Linked DNA regions of Oryctolagus cuniculus. The main gene of each other region encodes a partner of the protein of the gene in region 2 in a complex. Links are inferred from orthologs where the notes say so. Each region holds a gene or a part of one and is shown on either strand. Other genes may lie near its edges. The genes, in order: MYO6, GIPC1 and PLXND1.

Region 1 (4,836 bases), on a different chromosome or scaffold from region 2:
AACACCTCAAAAGTAGATCTTAGGATAATTTTACTTAGTTCCTGAGAGAACAACAACAACAGAAAAGGTGATGTGGGTGTCACAGATCATCCATTAATAATTTATATTATACCCCCGGAAGGTGGTTTTGTTTTACAGTTGAATATAGTACCATTGAGATGTAAAATCCTTAACAGTTAAATCCAAATAATTAAACCACCTACAAAAGCAGTCACCACCCAATGCAGTCTTTTTTTGCTCATTTACCCAACTACATTCTACTGCTGAAATGTATGACTTCTAATTTGTTACAAAAGAACTTTATGTGCTCATTTTTGTCCTTTGTGTCTATTAAGGTTCAAGGGATATTCATGAAATAATATAACACTGTAGATGACACTGTAATATATATTCATGAAATAATATAATGCTGTAGATGGACTTGTAATATATATATTACATGAAATAATATAACACTGTAGATGACAATTTCAACATACTCTCCAAACAAGTTCTTTTCCCTTAAGATTACAGTAGTTAATTATCTAATATTTAAAACATGGCCAGTGTTATAGTCTAACTCTTGTTCCTCTAAACCCATCAAAATAAGAGGTACACAAATTTGTTTAAGACTCTGGAACTACACCAGAAATGATAAAGCAGCATCATTCAAGACTGTCCACTTGAGAATGCAGACAGACACAGAATTCTCAGTTGGTTCCAGAACTACATTCTCGGTATAGAGCATCTACGGCATCTATTTCAGGATCCGGTCTTCTACATCTTGAACACAGCAGCAGTTCTGTAGAGTTAGATGAAAAGCCCATATGAAATGGAAGCAAGGCAACCTATTCAGGCAGGAAGGATAGGGACTTCAAAGTTAGCAGACTCAAGGTGTGAGCCCAGACTTTGCCCCTCTGGAGCTACATACCTTTGAGTAAGTATTTAATTCTCTGAGCCTCAATGCACTTCTCCTTAAAAAGACCAGACCACCACCCTCTGAAATCTATTTTGTAGATCAAGCCCCTCAGTCTGGGTTCTAATTACTGCAGATCCCTACTACATGGGTGATGCTCTTATACACTAAAAGGCCAATTCACAAATGGTTATAAAGTATCTCATTATGGGGACCATAATTAAAGTGTATGAGATTACTTAAAGCTGTAATACTTTTACAAATCTCTTTTCTAATTATTTTAACATATATAAGTTAACATTTCAGAAAGGGTAAAAAAATTTTCAAATTGACCTACATGATCAAAGGTGGAGCTTCAATTATCAACAGAAAGTCAAATAAGTCCTTATTTTTAAAACATATTTGGTGCTTATATGAATTCAAATCTCACAGTCAAAATCTTTAAAACTTTCTGAAGAAAGCTGCATTTTCAGACCCAGATAAAGCCCAGTTGTCTAAACAATGGGCTACATGATACACCACAGACTCCAGGCAAAGTCACAACAGGATGAGAAAAGAGCCTTCAGCCTCTCTCAGATTTCCTGGCCACTGTTATTTTAAAACTTGATTACGTAAATATAAACAGGGAAAAAGTACATTTCACATCAGCCCATGGGCTATGATTTAAGATCTTTGTTTTTACTACCTCATATTATTTACATTAAATATTATAATTGCTCATTACAAAAATGTTTAAGCATGATCATCTTTTCTTTCTGTTACTACCTTTTACCATTAGTTTTTGAAAACAAAAATGTAACTTAAAGAGCTGTGAGAGCAGTATCATGTCACATAGAAAATACAATGCAATGGGCAAATCTGCATAAGACTAAAATGACCCCTGTTTACCACTGTGGATGCAATTCCTGCTTAACTGAAAATACTCAAATGAGCTGAATTATTTAAAAGTCAATGAGCTATTTTGAACGACTGCATTGTTTGAAGCTCTGGCTAAAGCCCACTTTGTAACATTTGTAGCAGTTTCTAAAATTAATGATAAAAGGCATGGAGGTAATTTTTTTCACTGAATATTTCCCAATTGGAAATACACAACCCAAGAGATCTATGAAGTGCAGTTAATTTGTACAGAAATGCTGCTTTGCCGTCAACCTTTGTACCATGACCACTACCAGTCCAAGATTCACATTTTATGGTGTGAAGATAGTTTCAAGTAAGCTTTAAAGCATATTAATTTTTCAAACTCTCAAAGTCTGACTATACTTAGATATAATAAATCCATACCAGCAGAGCATAACAGCAAATCACTTTTATTTAGCACGTACAACAGTCTATTAAATTGGAGAAGTGTTCCTACTTCTTCACTAATATCTGTAGATTAGGTTTTAAGCATCCTTCCACCACATACTTTACGCCAAATAAAACGAACCAAGCTTTCTGAAAACTATGGCAATATTTCAGACAAGGATGTTCTAGCAATAACCCTATCAAACGGCTTCCTAACTAAAATTGAGATCCTGGAGTCTTAACTTTTTCACCTCATTAAGTTTTTGCAAACAGAAAAAAGTGATCTTTCCGGTAACATATCTGTAAATTAACATACTCAAGGTACTGGACCTCCCAGACAGCAAAAATACTAAGTCCCAACTTGGTCTTCAACATGATTAAACTATTAATGGTATCATTTCACATCTCAGAACGAACTGTACTCTTCCTGCCCTGAATCTTAAGCGAGTTTACAAAAGAGAAAAAAAAAAAAAAAACTATCGCGCAGTGTGCAAGGCAGAGTTGGACACCTGAGTGCTATGCTTCTACCTTGGAGCCAGGGAAGAAACACAAAGGTACCTTGGTGATGACAAGCCCATGAAAGGAGACTCTCATTGTCTGTCTGGAAATGAGAACCACCCTGGCAGGACGGTGAGCCGCCACCGCCCCGGCCCACCCATCACCTGTTGGTCCCAACCGCGTTCCTCAGAGGTGAGCCGAGTCTTCAGCCCCAGGGCGGTCAGAGAAGGCCTCGAAGCAAGGCCGAGCCAGGAAAAAAGCGTCCTGGCGCGGCCGCCCCACAGTGTCCCGGGCGCGGACACTCACCGGTGCTGCAGCGAAGGCAGGTGCGCGGCGGCGGGGCTACCTGTCGCCGGTGAAGCCGGAGGGCGGGGTTAGGGGTGCCGAGGGGATCGGGAAGAACGACGACGCGGACTGCACCAGGACGGGGCTGCGGCGGCGGCGGCGGCCAGGCTACTGCTTGCTTCCTGCTCGGACAGATCCCGGGTCGGTCTCCGCCCGCCGGCCGGCGCCCCACAGAGTCCCCGGCCCCGCCGCGCACACGTCACGGCTACGGAGCGCCCGAGGGGGCGGGGGCGCCAAGGGCCGGGGCGGGCCGACGGGGTGCGCGGGCGCGGGGCGCGCTCCCGAGCGGAGTGGGGCTGTCCTGCCAGCCGGCGTGGAGGCCGCGGCGTGGGTGGGTGCTGCTCGGCGTGGGAGGGGTGCAGCTGGCCAAGCTGGGCGCCTTCGCTCCTCTCCAAGCGAAACGGCGCCTACGCAGCGGATATTGTTTCCAGTCGCTGCCGACTGGATCGCGGGAATGTGCAGCGTGCAAACCGCAGTGAGCTCCAGGAGAGAGAAAGTGCGTCCGAGACAGGGCGAGGACCCCCGAGACACCAGGGGGTCGCGAGGAGAGACCCTGGCGATCTCGGCCATAGTCCGGGTGGGCTGCCCTGCGTGGGTATCAGCCTTCCTGCGCAAATAGTTCGCCATTCCTGCCTTAGCAGGAGGGGGCTGAGATGGAAATCTCTGAGTGTCCATCCCGGGTGTTTTATTTTGAAGAGCCCCTGTCTTCCCGGTCACTTAGATTTTACTGTTCTTATAAATATGAAGCACCTATGCAAATTTGTTTTATACGAGGAAACTACGCAGTCTGCTACTACGTTGCTTTTAGGACGAAAAGAAGTTCCAGTTAAGAAAATGAAATAAATGTAATGCTAGATATTTCTGCTGAAACTAAAATACTTAACACGTAAGCACTACACTGTTTTCCGCAACATGTAAAAGTAGCAACGGGGAAACTTCCGGAAATTTACAGGAGAAACACGTAGCATCAGATGTCAAAGGTTCCCCCAGATCTCTGGGTGGAAAGGCTAAGTTCTGATGAGATATTGTAGCATACAACCAAAATAATAAAACATTGAGAAAAAGATGGAGAAGTAAGAAAGAGGAAGCGAAACCAAGCAAGGAAATAATTCATAGCAATCTCGGAAGTTTATTTCCAGATTGCCACAAGATAAGTCTTCAGTCGATTCAAAAGGAAAGAAGAAAAAAAAATGAAGACTTAGTTTACCGCTTTGAATTAATTTTGGATTTAATATTAAAAGCCTTCGGGAAGTTAATAGAAGCCAATTTATTTTGACTAGTTTCTGTGGCTTATCACTTACATCTCTTCCTCCCCACCCCCCACAGATTGGATAATCTGTAACTGAGTCCCTCTGCTTCTAGCTCTGTAATTCTTTAATGTATCCAATTCCTCTTCATAACCACTACAAGTATCGTGTTCCCGGCCGCCATCATTTCAAGACTTGCACACTGCCCTTGGCACATAAGCAGTTTCCCAGACTGCAAACTCGTCCCCTTTAAATTCAGTCTCCACTAGTTCATCATTGATAAAACTCTTCGTATCTACTCCTCTATTTAAACTCCTATAGAGCAGTACTGCACCCTCCTTATTCTAAGTCCAGACCCCTTAAAATGTCTCATAAAATCCCATTTAATTTAACCACTACTCACAGACTATGAGATTTTTTGTGTGAGCTGAATTTGAATGCCTTTTCATTGGTCAGCTGGTTCCCGGTTCACCACTGTCCTAAACCCCACAAAGCTGTCCCAACCAGGCTTCTTCACACAATGTCACTTGCCTGTCTTAGGAATCACTTCCGTTTTGGACCACCACC
Region 2 (4,259 bases):
TGGGAACTTGGTGAGACCTGTGGTCACCAGTTTCCGCGCAATCCATCGGGCCACAGGCCTCCCAGTGCCTGGTGGGAAGTCAGCTTCCAACCGTGGCCCTCATCTCCCACAATCCACTGGGGCCCAGGCCTCCTAATGCCTGATGGGGGCTCAGTATTCAGCTGTGCCTATTAGCACCTCTCCCTGCCCCCCATAACCCACTAGGACAAAGGCCCCCTCCCAAGGCCTTATGGGAACTCAGTTTCCAGCCCGGGGGCCATCAGACCCCACACCCCACAATCAACTGGGGCCCATGCCTCACAATGCCTGATGGGAAGTCAGCTTCCCGCCGTGGCTCGCTCTCGTTTCCCACAATCCACTGGGGCCAGGTCTCCCAGTGCCAACTGGAACTCAGTATTCAGCTGGAATCATGTCTCCCTTCCCCCACCACTCCACAACCCACTAGGACAAAGGCCCCCTCCCAAGGCCTTATGGGAACTCAGCTTCCAGCCCGGGGGGCGGGCAGCCCCCACAATCCACCGGGGACCGCGCCTCGCAATGCCTGACAGGAAGTCAGCCCCAAGCCGCAGCCCTCACCTCCCACAAGCCTCTGGGCCCAGGCCTCCCTGTGCCCCATGGGAAGCCAGAATTCATATGGAGCCTGCGGCTCCCCACAATCCACTGGGCCCAGGCCTCGCAATGCCTGATGGGAAGGCAGCCCGAAGCCCCAGCCCTCATCTCCCACAAAACCCTGGGGCCCCGCCCTCCAGTGCCGGCTGCGCGCAGGTGCACCTGCCGCTGCGGCGCCCAGCAGTGCGTACCTCGGCGGCCGGCAGGCGGAAGGCCTCGGCGATCTTGCCATAGAGTTCCTTGACGTTGGTGAAGCCCTCGATGCGGCCCGTGGGGCTGCCGTGCGCCAGCTGGGTGTGGAACACGAGGCGGGGCCGCAGGGCCGGTGGCGGCGGGGGCAGGCCCAGCTGAGGTCCGCCCGCGCCGCCGCCGCCCAGGGGCCCCGGCTCGCCCACGCCCAGCCCGCCGCGGCCCGGCTCAGCTTCCTCATTCTCCACCAGAGGCGGCGCCTTTTTCCGCCGCCCCAGTCCTAGCGGCATGAGCGAGGGGAGATCCGCCCCGGGGAGACCTGCGCGGGGCGCGGGAAGGGGAGTCAGGGCCAGAGCCCCCGGTATCCGCGGGCACCCACGGCTGCGGTGTTCGCCCGATGACAGTCCTTGCACCTACCAAGGACGGCCAGAGTTTTACTACTTTTTTGAAACTTTTTCAGTGTGCTCTGAGTCCGTGGCTCAGCGCTCCCGGCCAGGTCAGCCCCGTGCCCATTTACCAGATGGGAAGACGGAGGCTCATGGCTGATAGCGCGACTAAGCTCTGGCCAAGGAGCCAGGAGGGCGGGCGAGGGACCACACCCTGGGCGGAAGCCCCGAATGGCTGCAGTGAGAACCACCAGGGCTGTGTCTCTTCCCCCACCACGTGTGCCACACGGTGGCCGCGCCCTGAGTGGCGCCTCCAGCCAGGCGGCAGAGGGTATATGGCAGCCACAGGCGCTGTGGTGCAGCAGGTAAAGCCACCGCCTGCAGTGCCGGCATCCCATAGGGGCACCAGTTGGTGTCCCGGCTGCTCCACTTCCGATCCAGCTCTCTGCTGTGACCTGGGAAAGCAGTAGAGGATGGCCCAAGTGCTTGGGCCCCTGCACGTGCATGGGAGACCCAGAGGACACTCCTGGCTCCTGGCTTTGGTCTGGTCCAGCCATAGCCATTGCGGTCATTTGGAGGGCAAACCAGTGGATGGAGAACCTCTCTCTCTCTCTCTCTCTCTCTCTCTGACTCTGCCATTTCAAATTAAAAATAAATAAATCCTTAAAAAATAAATAAAATGTTACCTTCAATATGAGAAGCAAGGTCCCTGACTATAGCCTGCATGTACTGTCGCACAGGTTGTTGACCGTGCACAAGCCAGGTGTCACGTGGGACTGGGGTTCGGCCTACGCTCTGCCTGCCAAGCCGCATTCCTTGGTGTGATGAGGTGTGGGCAGCAGCCTGCCCAGAGGAGGGGCTGGGGTTTGGTCTTTTTTTTTCTTTTTTAAAAAAGAGCTTTATTTCTTTCTGTATCTGTTTGAAAGGCAGAGTGATGGGAGGCTGGGGGGGGGGAGAGGGGAAGAGGGGGAGAGAGAGAGAGAGAGAGAGAGAGAGGTCTTCCATCTGTGGGTTCAGCCTACAGGTGGGGCTGGCCCATCCCTGGCTTTTGTGGGCATTTGGGGAGTGAACCAGCAGGTGGAAGACCTCTCTCTCTCTCTCTTTCTCACTCTGCCTTTCAACTAAGTAAATACATCTTTTTCTTTAAAAAAAAAAAAAAGCTCAACTTTATTTTGGTACAAAACTTTTTTGGAGGCCACACTGGGGCTCAGGTCAGATTTCATTTTGCCGATTCCCTTGTGTAGAGTTATTTCTATGTAAAAGGCAGAGAGAGAGAGACATCGGCCACCCGCTGGTCCACTCCCCGCATGCCGACAGCAGCCGGGGCTGGGCCAGGCTGAAGCCCGGAGCCAGGAGCTCCATCTGGGTCCCTCACGTGGGTGTGCAGGAGCCCAGGCACTGGGGCCGCCAATGCTACTGCCCAGAGTGCAGGTGCACCCCCAGGGCCAAGTTCATGACCGGGGTGCTGTGCCCTAAGCAGAGGCTTGGTCAGCCACGCCCCTTCCTGAGGGGAGGGGCCGGCGAGTAGCCGCCTGATTCTAGTTCCCTGTGTCCAAGGGACTTTGGGCTGCTTCGTGTACGCATGCGTCCGCTCATTCATTCATTCACTCATTCATTCATTGGTCTGTCTCACCGAGACCAGCGCGGTCGCCTCTTCAGGGTCTCCTGGCTTCCGCCTTCACTCCCCTGGCTCGTAGGAGACAGCAGCCAGAATGATCCTGTAAGACGTGAGCAGGTCGCGGGAGTCCCGGGGCTCCCCGCTGGCCCACAGGGCCCCCTGAAGCCCCACCCACCCGCTGCCCACATGCCCAGCCACGAGGGCCACAGTCAGGCCTCAGGGCCTTTGAACAGGCTGCTCCCTCTGATTCTGCCTCCCACCCCATCCCCCACACCCGCCTCTGAGGGGGCGTGGCATCTTCTCAGCCCTCCATCCATAGAACAGACATCAGTAGACGCTGGCTGAGTCCATGAGTGGACGAATGAGTGGGCCCAGTGCTGGCTAGCCAGCCGGTTGCAGTGCCCGGCTCCGGGGAAGACCAGGCGGTGGCCTCCCGGCCTTGTCACATCAGCAAAGCACAGGCCGTCCCCTTCCACTCTGTGGTCTCTGCACACTTCACCTCTCAGCGCGGAGCCTGGCGCACAGTAGGTGCTTATGTTGTCAGACACAAGGAAAGCGTCCCCCTCACCTGTTTCAGTCTATGCAGCTTTCAACTGCTTGCCTTGGCCTTTTTGTGAGCGGCGGCTCAGCAGTGAGGACCCGGCTCAGGACCCCCGCATCCCACATCCAAGGGCCAGGGTCAGTTCCCAGCTCTGCCTCTGACCTGGCTTCCTGCTAATGTGCGCCGGGGGGGTGGGGGGGGAGCGGGCAGCAGGCAAGGGCTCAAGGAGCTGGGTCCCTGCCACCCACAGGGGAGACCTGGATGGAGCTCCTGGCTCCTGGCTTTGGCCTGGCCCAGCCCTGACTGTTGTAGGCATTTGGGAGGCAAACCAAAGAATGAAAGCTTGCTCTCTCTTTCTCTCTCTCTCTCTCCCTTCTAAATAAAGAGAAGATGAGTAAATGCATTTAAACATGTGGCTTTTTTCTTATTCATTTGGGAGAACTCTTTATATGATGGATACAAGCCTTTCACCGGTTCTCCAGCCTTCCTACCCATAGCAGTCATCGTGGTCTAGCACATGGTAGGCACTCGCTGAGTATTTGACAAAGCAGCCTACTCCCTCAAGTTATCCCACCAAGCTCATGACGCTAAAACAACAAACAAGAACCCAACTCTCGCCATCTCTCAGCACTCATGGGAGGCAGGGGGCTGTGTGGCTCAGAGCAGGGGTCTTAACCTCTCTGAGCTCCCAGGAGCCTGGAACATTCCAGCTCCCAGCGCAGGCTGTATTGAGTGCTAGTGACTATTATTTGCAACAATAGTTGATCAGGCCCCCCGAGGCCTCACTGCCCAGGACCCTGTCTTCCTCGAGTGCTGATCCGTCCTTTCTCCACCCATAGCCGGCAGCCACCTTGCTGTGGGCCAGCTTCCGGGTCCTCACTAGTGCCAGGAGAGTAATGGTGGTGAGGAGATGGGA
Region 3 (4,823 bases), on a different chromosome or scaffold from region 2:
CATTTCTTCCAGAGGGGGTGGGGAGTCTGGGAGGCTGAGGAAACCCACAGACCAGCTTGCACCAGGGCCGTGGCACAAGGCCTGGAGCTGCTGGGCCGGCTGGAGGGTGCAGAGCAGGGTCCCCATTCCCCTCCTCCAGCCCTGAGACCCCAGTGCCACAGACACAGCCAGAGTCGGCCCTGGGGAAGGAAACGGTGGGTGTCCCGACCGCAGCTGGGCAGCCAGCCCTGGCGGTGTCGTGGCTCCCTGGGGCCCTGCCCGCTCACCCTGCAGGGCCTTCACCTGCAGGGCGGCCGGCTGGGCGCTGGGCAGTCGTGGGAGCCTGAGTCTGCGAGAAGAAATCTGTGTTTTCTCAACGGCCCAGCGCTGGGCACGCCCACAGGGCGACCATTAATCTTAGGAGATTCTTGTCACAGCCACCGCAGGGCCCCAAGAGGGGCTGGGCAGTCACCAGGAGGGGGGGTGGGGGACCCTCAAAGTGGGCAAGGGGAGGGAGCAGCCCCGCCCCAGGGCCCTGCTGGTGCCCTTCGTGAATCCCCTCCGGCCTCCCGCACTGCTGCGTCATGTCCCCAAGGGCAGCACACACGCTCCACACCACACACACACGTACACATGCACACACACACACTCGCACATGCATACACACGCACACTCGCACATGCATACACACGCACACACACACTCAGCGTCTACACCACACACACACGCACGCACACACACCCGCTCTGTGTCCTATGGCAGCAGGGCCTCAGCATGAAGAACGCAGATGCTGAGGTTACAAAGCCAAGATTCCCGGCCCACCTCTGCTAGTCCCCAGCTGTGTGACCTTGAGCGAGTTACTAACCTCCCTGTGCTGGCTTCTTCATGGTAAACAGGAAGAACTCCTGAGTTAGGACCTGTGGCGATGCGCCTAGCGGGGACTCCACAGCCTGCTGTCTACCTGGTGCTTGCTGGGACTAATGCTCTGTACACCGTATCGGTTGAATGAGGGCACAAAAGCTGGCCTCACGTTTTTACCAACCCTGTGGCCTTCCCCGAGGACCTACTGGTTCCCAAACACCTGTGTCCCCTGCCGCTCAGGTACTCATTGTGCCAGTGTCCCCACAGGCACCTGCCTGCCGATACTCCCACAGGCCCCGCCCACTGGCACACACATCTGGGGCACACACCTTTGTCACTCGCGCTTTGCCACCACCCCCGAATCTGCAGGGTCCCTGCACACCTGCCACACCCAGGCACACGTCTGTCACCTGGCGGCACCAGCAGCCCTGATGGACTCACACAGCTGGTCCAGGCACTCACACCTTTGACCAGAGAGATGCTCACGTGCACCTGTGAGCCCCATGTGCACATCTGGCTGTCTGTGAACCTCTGGTTCTCTGTGGCAGCCTGGACCCCTCCAAGCACATCTGGATAAGTGCCCCGCGATAACCCAGCACTCACCCGGTTACCCTCTCCTCCACCCCACCCACCCCGGGCGGACACCTGGGTCCCCCCGTGAGCACCTGGATCCGTGTCCATGCACCTGCGACCTGGAGCGCACACCTGGTTCCCGGCACTCTCACGCCTGCGACCTGCTGGCGGCGCACGGCTTGCCGGGTGCCCCGCAGGCTCCCGCTCCCCGCGCCCCGCCACCGGGCCCGTACCTGGATATTGCGCTTGCGCTCGCAGGCCGGCCCGGTGCCCTGCACCACGCTGTCCAGCACGGCCACCACGTCGGGCGCGGGCTCCACGAAGCAGGCGGTGCGCGCGGCGCGGATGGCGGCCCGCACGTCGGCGAAGCGGAAGGCGCAGAGCGCGGCCGGCGCGGCGCGGGCCGCCGGGGCCCCCTGGGGCCGCTCGAACACGGCGAAGAGCAGCTCCCGCGCGGGGAAGACGGACACCAGGCGGCTGTAGAGGTCGCCGCGGCCCGCGCCCCCCGCGCACTGCAAACCCAGCTGGATGTAGGATTCGGTGAGCTTCTTGGCGTCGCCGCCGGCGCCGCGGGGCAGGCAGATGCGCGCCAGCAGGCTCCGCGCCTGGCTCTCCTTGTCGCCCGCACGCGCCTCGCTGTTGAGCGCCAGGTACGCGTAGGACGGCACGCCGGGCGGCGGGTCGGGCGGGTGCAGGAAGGCGCTCACGAAGCCCAGCTTGTGCTGCTCCTTGGCGCCCTGCTTGATCTTGAGGATGTTGTCGTCGGAGGGGTTGAGGTCGAAGGTGAAGAGCTTGGCCAGGTCGCCGCGCGCGTCCAGCGAGCGGATGGAGATCTCTGGCGTGTTCTCGAAGCGGTGGTCCTCCAGGCTGCGGTTGCGCGGGAAGAAGGCGCTGCCGTAGCCGGTGTACGTGGCGCCCACGAGCAGGCGGCTGCCCCCCGCGCCGGCGGCCGGCGGCAGCACCAGCGCCACGGTGGACGCGTTCGCGTGGTTGGCGGCCACGTTGAGCATGCTGGGGAACACGGCCACGGGCTCGGCGGGCGGCGCGGCGGGCGGGAAGGCCACGGCCACGGCCGAGATGTTGCCCCGGCGCCGCAGCTGGCAGAAGCCCTGGTAGATGGAGCCGCACACGACCACCAGGCCCTGGCCCGGGTCCAGCTGCAGGATCTTGTTGTAGTTGTCGGTGAGGCGCCGCGGGTGCTCGCACGAGGCCTGTGGCAGCTGCGGGGCGTGGCACAGCGGGCTGTCGGCCACCGGGCCCACGGCCGCCTCGGCCTCCAGGCTCAGGTTGGCGCCCGACAGCTGGTACAGGCGGTTCACGGCGGCCAGGTACACGGTGCCCGCCGCGCCGTCCAGGGCGAAGTTGTTGGTGGGCGTGGGCGAGGGGAAGCGGCGCTGGATCTCCAGGGCGCCGACCTGCGCAGCCCCCAGCACCAGCAGGAGCAGCGGCAGCGGGCACCGCGGGGCCCCCCGGAGCGGACGGCGCGGCGGCGGCGGCGGCAGCAGCGGCGGGGGCCCGGCCGCGGCGGCCCGGGAGCTAGGGGCTGCGCCGCCCGCGGCGCGACGAGCCATCCGGGCGTGCGCGGGCTGCGCGGCGCGGCGAGTGCATGGGGCGAGGCGCGGCCGGGAGCCGGAGTCCGGAGGCGGCGGGAGGCGGGGGGCGGGCCCGGGCCGCGAGGCGCTTCCTGCCCGCGCCAGCCGCCCCCGGCCCCGGCGCCCCGGCCCGGCTCAGCCTCGCGCGCGGCACAGCCCGGGGGGCGGGACGGGGGCGGCTCCGCGGCGGCCCCGCCCCCGGCGCCCGCCCCGGCTCCCCGGCGCCCGCCCCGCCCCGCGCCGCCGGCCTTGCGGCGGCTGTCGGGGGATCGTGCTGCCCCGTGTCCCCGCGGGACTCCGCCGCCGCCCCCGCGGCTCTGCGTACCCCAGGCTCTCGGGCGCGGTCTCCTCTTCCCCGCTGCGCGCCCCGCGTCTCTGTCCGTCCTGTCCCCCTCAACTCCGTGTGGGTCGCGCCTCCTCGCTCCCCTCGGTCTCCGCTCCCTTCTCTCGGTGTCTGCCTGGCCCTCCCACTTCTGTCGACCCCGCCCCCACCCCTACCCTGTCTCGTTCTTCCCTCCCCAGTCGGTTTTTCTGTCCCCGGCTTCGCCAGGCCGCCCACACCCCATGATCCATGCCCCAGACCCAAGCCCAGGGAAGGAGTTTACAAGGAGCGGGGAACGGAGAGCAGTGCCTGCAAACCAGCAGAGAGGGTGTGTGAAGAGAGGAAGCCTAGGGCTTAGGCCTGCTGGACAGTTGCCTCCTGGGGAGATCCAGGTCTGTGGGCGGCCACCCTCCCACTGAGCCCAGCGCTTTACTTTTGTCAGGGATCCTGCAAGGATTTGAAACTGCAGTCCTCCTAGACTTATGCAAGATTTGCCACATGTGAGCTGGCATGGGGCAGGCTTCCTTCACCTTGGGGGGCGAGCGAGCGCTGGGTGGGAACCGGGCCGCAGTGGTTCTGGGGTCGCAGGGCTGGAATGAGAGCCGTCCACAGCAGCTGGGGCACCGTGGGTGCTTAGCAGGGCTGGCCTCGTGCCAGGCACTGCGCAGTGCTGGTCACCTGGACCAACACTTCGTCCACACAGGAGCCTGGTGCCATGGTCACCCCATCTCCCGGATACAGAAACTGAGGACCCAGAGAGAGACGGAGACAGCTCGTGAGGGGCAGAGCCATGGAGTCTGCCAGCAGGGTCTCCTGTGAGACCCCCAGGGGCCACATGGTGCCTGGTGGGTGGCCTTGTCCCCGCCCCGCCAGGAAGGCAGGCCAGGGGGTGTCTCTGTGCTCCATGGGGCAGGCAGGAAAGGCTGGGCTTGCAGCCACCCCCACTCCCACCCCGCACTTCCTCTGCCCAGCACCCTGGTCTTCCTGTCCTCTGCCAGCCTGTTCCACCCCTGTCCCCTGGCCTGGTACTGCTCCGATGGCCAGCGTTGTCCTGCAGCAGGAAAGGGGGGTATCAGAGTCAGGGGGGCTCAGGGCCACCTGGGGACTCCCCGAGAGGACTGAAGTCCCTGCCTCTGTCTCTGTGGCGTGGGGAGGGCGCTGCCCCCCGCGGGAGCAGGCTGGGGAGCCAGGCAGGACTGGCCGGGGCCGCCTCAGAACATTGGCTCCCACCCTGCCCGGCGCCGCAGCCCTGCGGCGTCCTCCGCCCGTCCCCGCTCCTCCAGCCTTGCCCGGCCGGCTCCCGGGTTTTCTGTCGCCTCTCGTTCCTGGTCGCCCCCGCCCTCCCGGTCTCCCGTCCCTGCCTGCCGAGGCGAGCGAGCGTCTCTGCCTCCCTCCCCGGCCCCCGCCCGCCCCGGCTCGGCCCCCTCGGCCCCTTCTGGTTTCCTTCCTGTATCCTGCAGCTCCCCCCACTGAGCCCTGAGGATACTGCTCCGCGT

The links.
Region 1: the proteins of GIPC1 (region 2) and MYO6 are in contact, whole or in part, in a crystal structure (PDB 5V6E), measured with the Mus musculus proteins. The link is inferred for Oryctolagus cuniculus from reciprocal best matches to the Homo sapiens genes GIPC1 and MYO6. Residues at the interface, in NP_061241.1 of Mus musculus: Glu273, Ser274, Tyr275, Met276, Gly277, Ile278, Arg279, Asp280, Glu282, Leu283, Thr286, Asp310, Phe311, Ala312, Pro314, Glu316; in NP_001034635.2 of Mus musculus: Ser1055, Lys1056, Trp1057, Lys1058, Tyr1059, Ala1060, Arg1084, Arg1085, Leu1086, Val1088, Tyr1089, Trp1092, Lys1093, Asn1096.
Region 3: the proteins of GIPC1 (region 2) and PLXND1 are in contact, whole or in part, in a crystal structure (PDB 5V6T), measured with the Mus musculus proteins. The link is inferred for Oryctolagus cuniculus from reciprocal best matches to the Homo sapiens genes GIPC1 and PLXND1. Residues at the interface, in NP_061241.1 of Mus musculus: His61, Glu141, Ala142, Leu143, Gly144, Leu145, Thr146, Ile147, Thr148, Asp149, Asn150, Gly151, Phe156, Lys158, Arg159, Arg190, His191, Tyr192, Glu193, Ala195, Arg196, Leu198, Lys199; in NP_080652.2 of Mus musculus: Glu1400, Met1889, Glu1893, Arg1899, Gln1902, Gln1904, His1905, Glu1908, Ile1918, Tyr1919, Cys1921, Tyr1922, Ser1923, Glu1924, Ala1925.

What each region holds. Positions count from the first base shown.
Region 1 is NC_091436.1:96,688,576-96,693,411, forward strand, and holds the start of MYO6 (unconventional myosin-VI), read right to left. Parts: upstream 3,221-4,836; 5' UTR 2,984-3,220; intron 2,865-2,983; exon of another isoform or gene 2,842-2,864; intron 1-2,841. UniProt on the Homo sapiens protein: Myosins are actin-based motor molecules with ATPase activity. Unconventional myosins serve in intracellular movements. Myosin 6 is a reverse-direction motor protein that moves towards the minus-end of actin filaments.
Region 2 is NC_091447.1:63,120,638-63,124,896, forward strand, and holds part of GIPC1 (PDZ domain-containing protein GIPC1), read right to left. Parts: intron 2,903-4,259; 5' UTR 2,818-2,902; intron 1,118-2,817; 5' UTR 1,089-1,117; coding exon 801-1,088; intron 1-800. UniProt on the Homo sapiens protein: May be involved in G protein-linked signaling.
Region 3 is NC_091441.1:114,290,716-114,295,538, reverse strand, and holds the start of PLXND1 (plexin-D1), read right to left. Parts: upstream 3,115-4,823; 5' UTR 2,985-3,114; coding exon 1,647-2,984; intron 1-1,646. UniProt on the Homo sapiens protein: Cell surface receptor for SEMA4A and for class 3 semaphorins, such as SEMA3A, SEMA3C and SEMA3E. Plays an important role in cell-cell signaling, and in regulating the migration of a wide spectrum of cell types.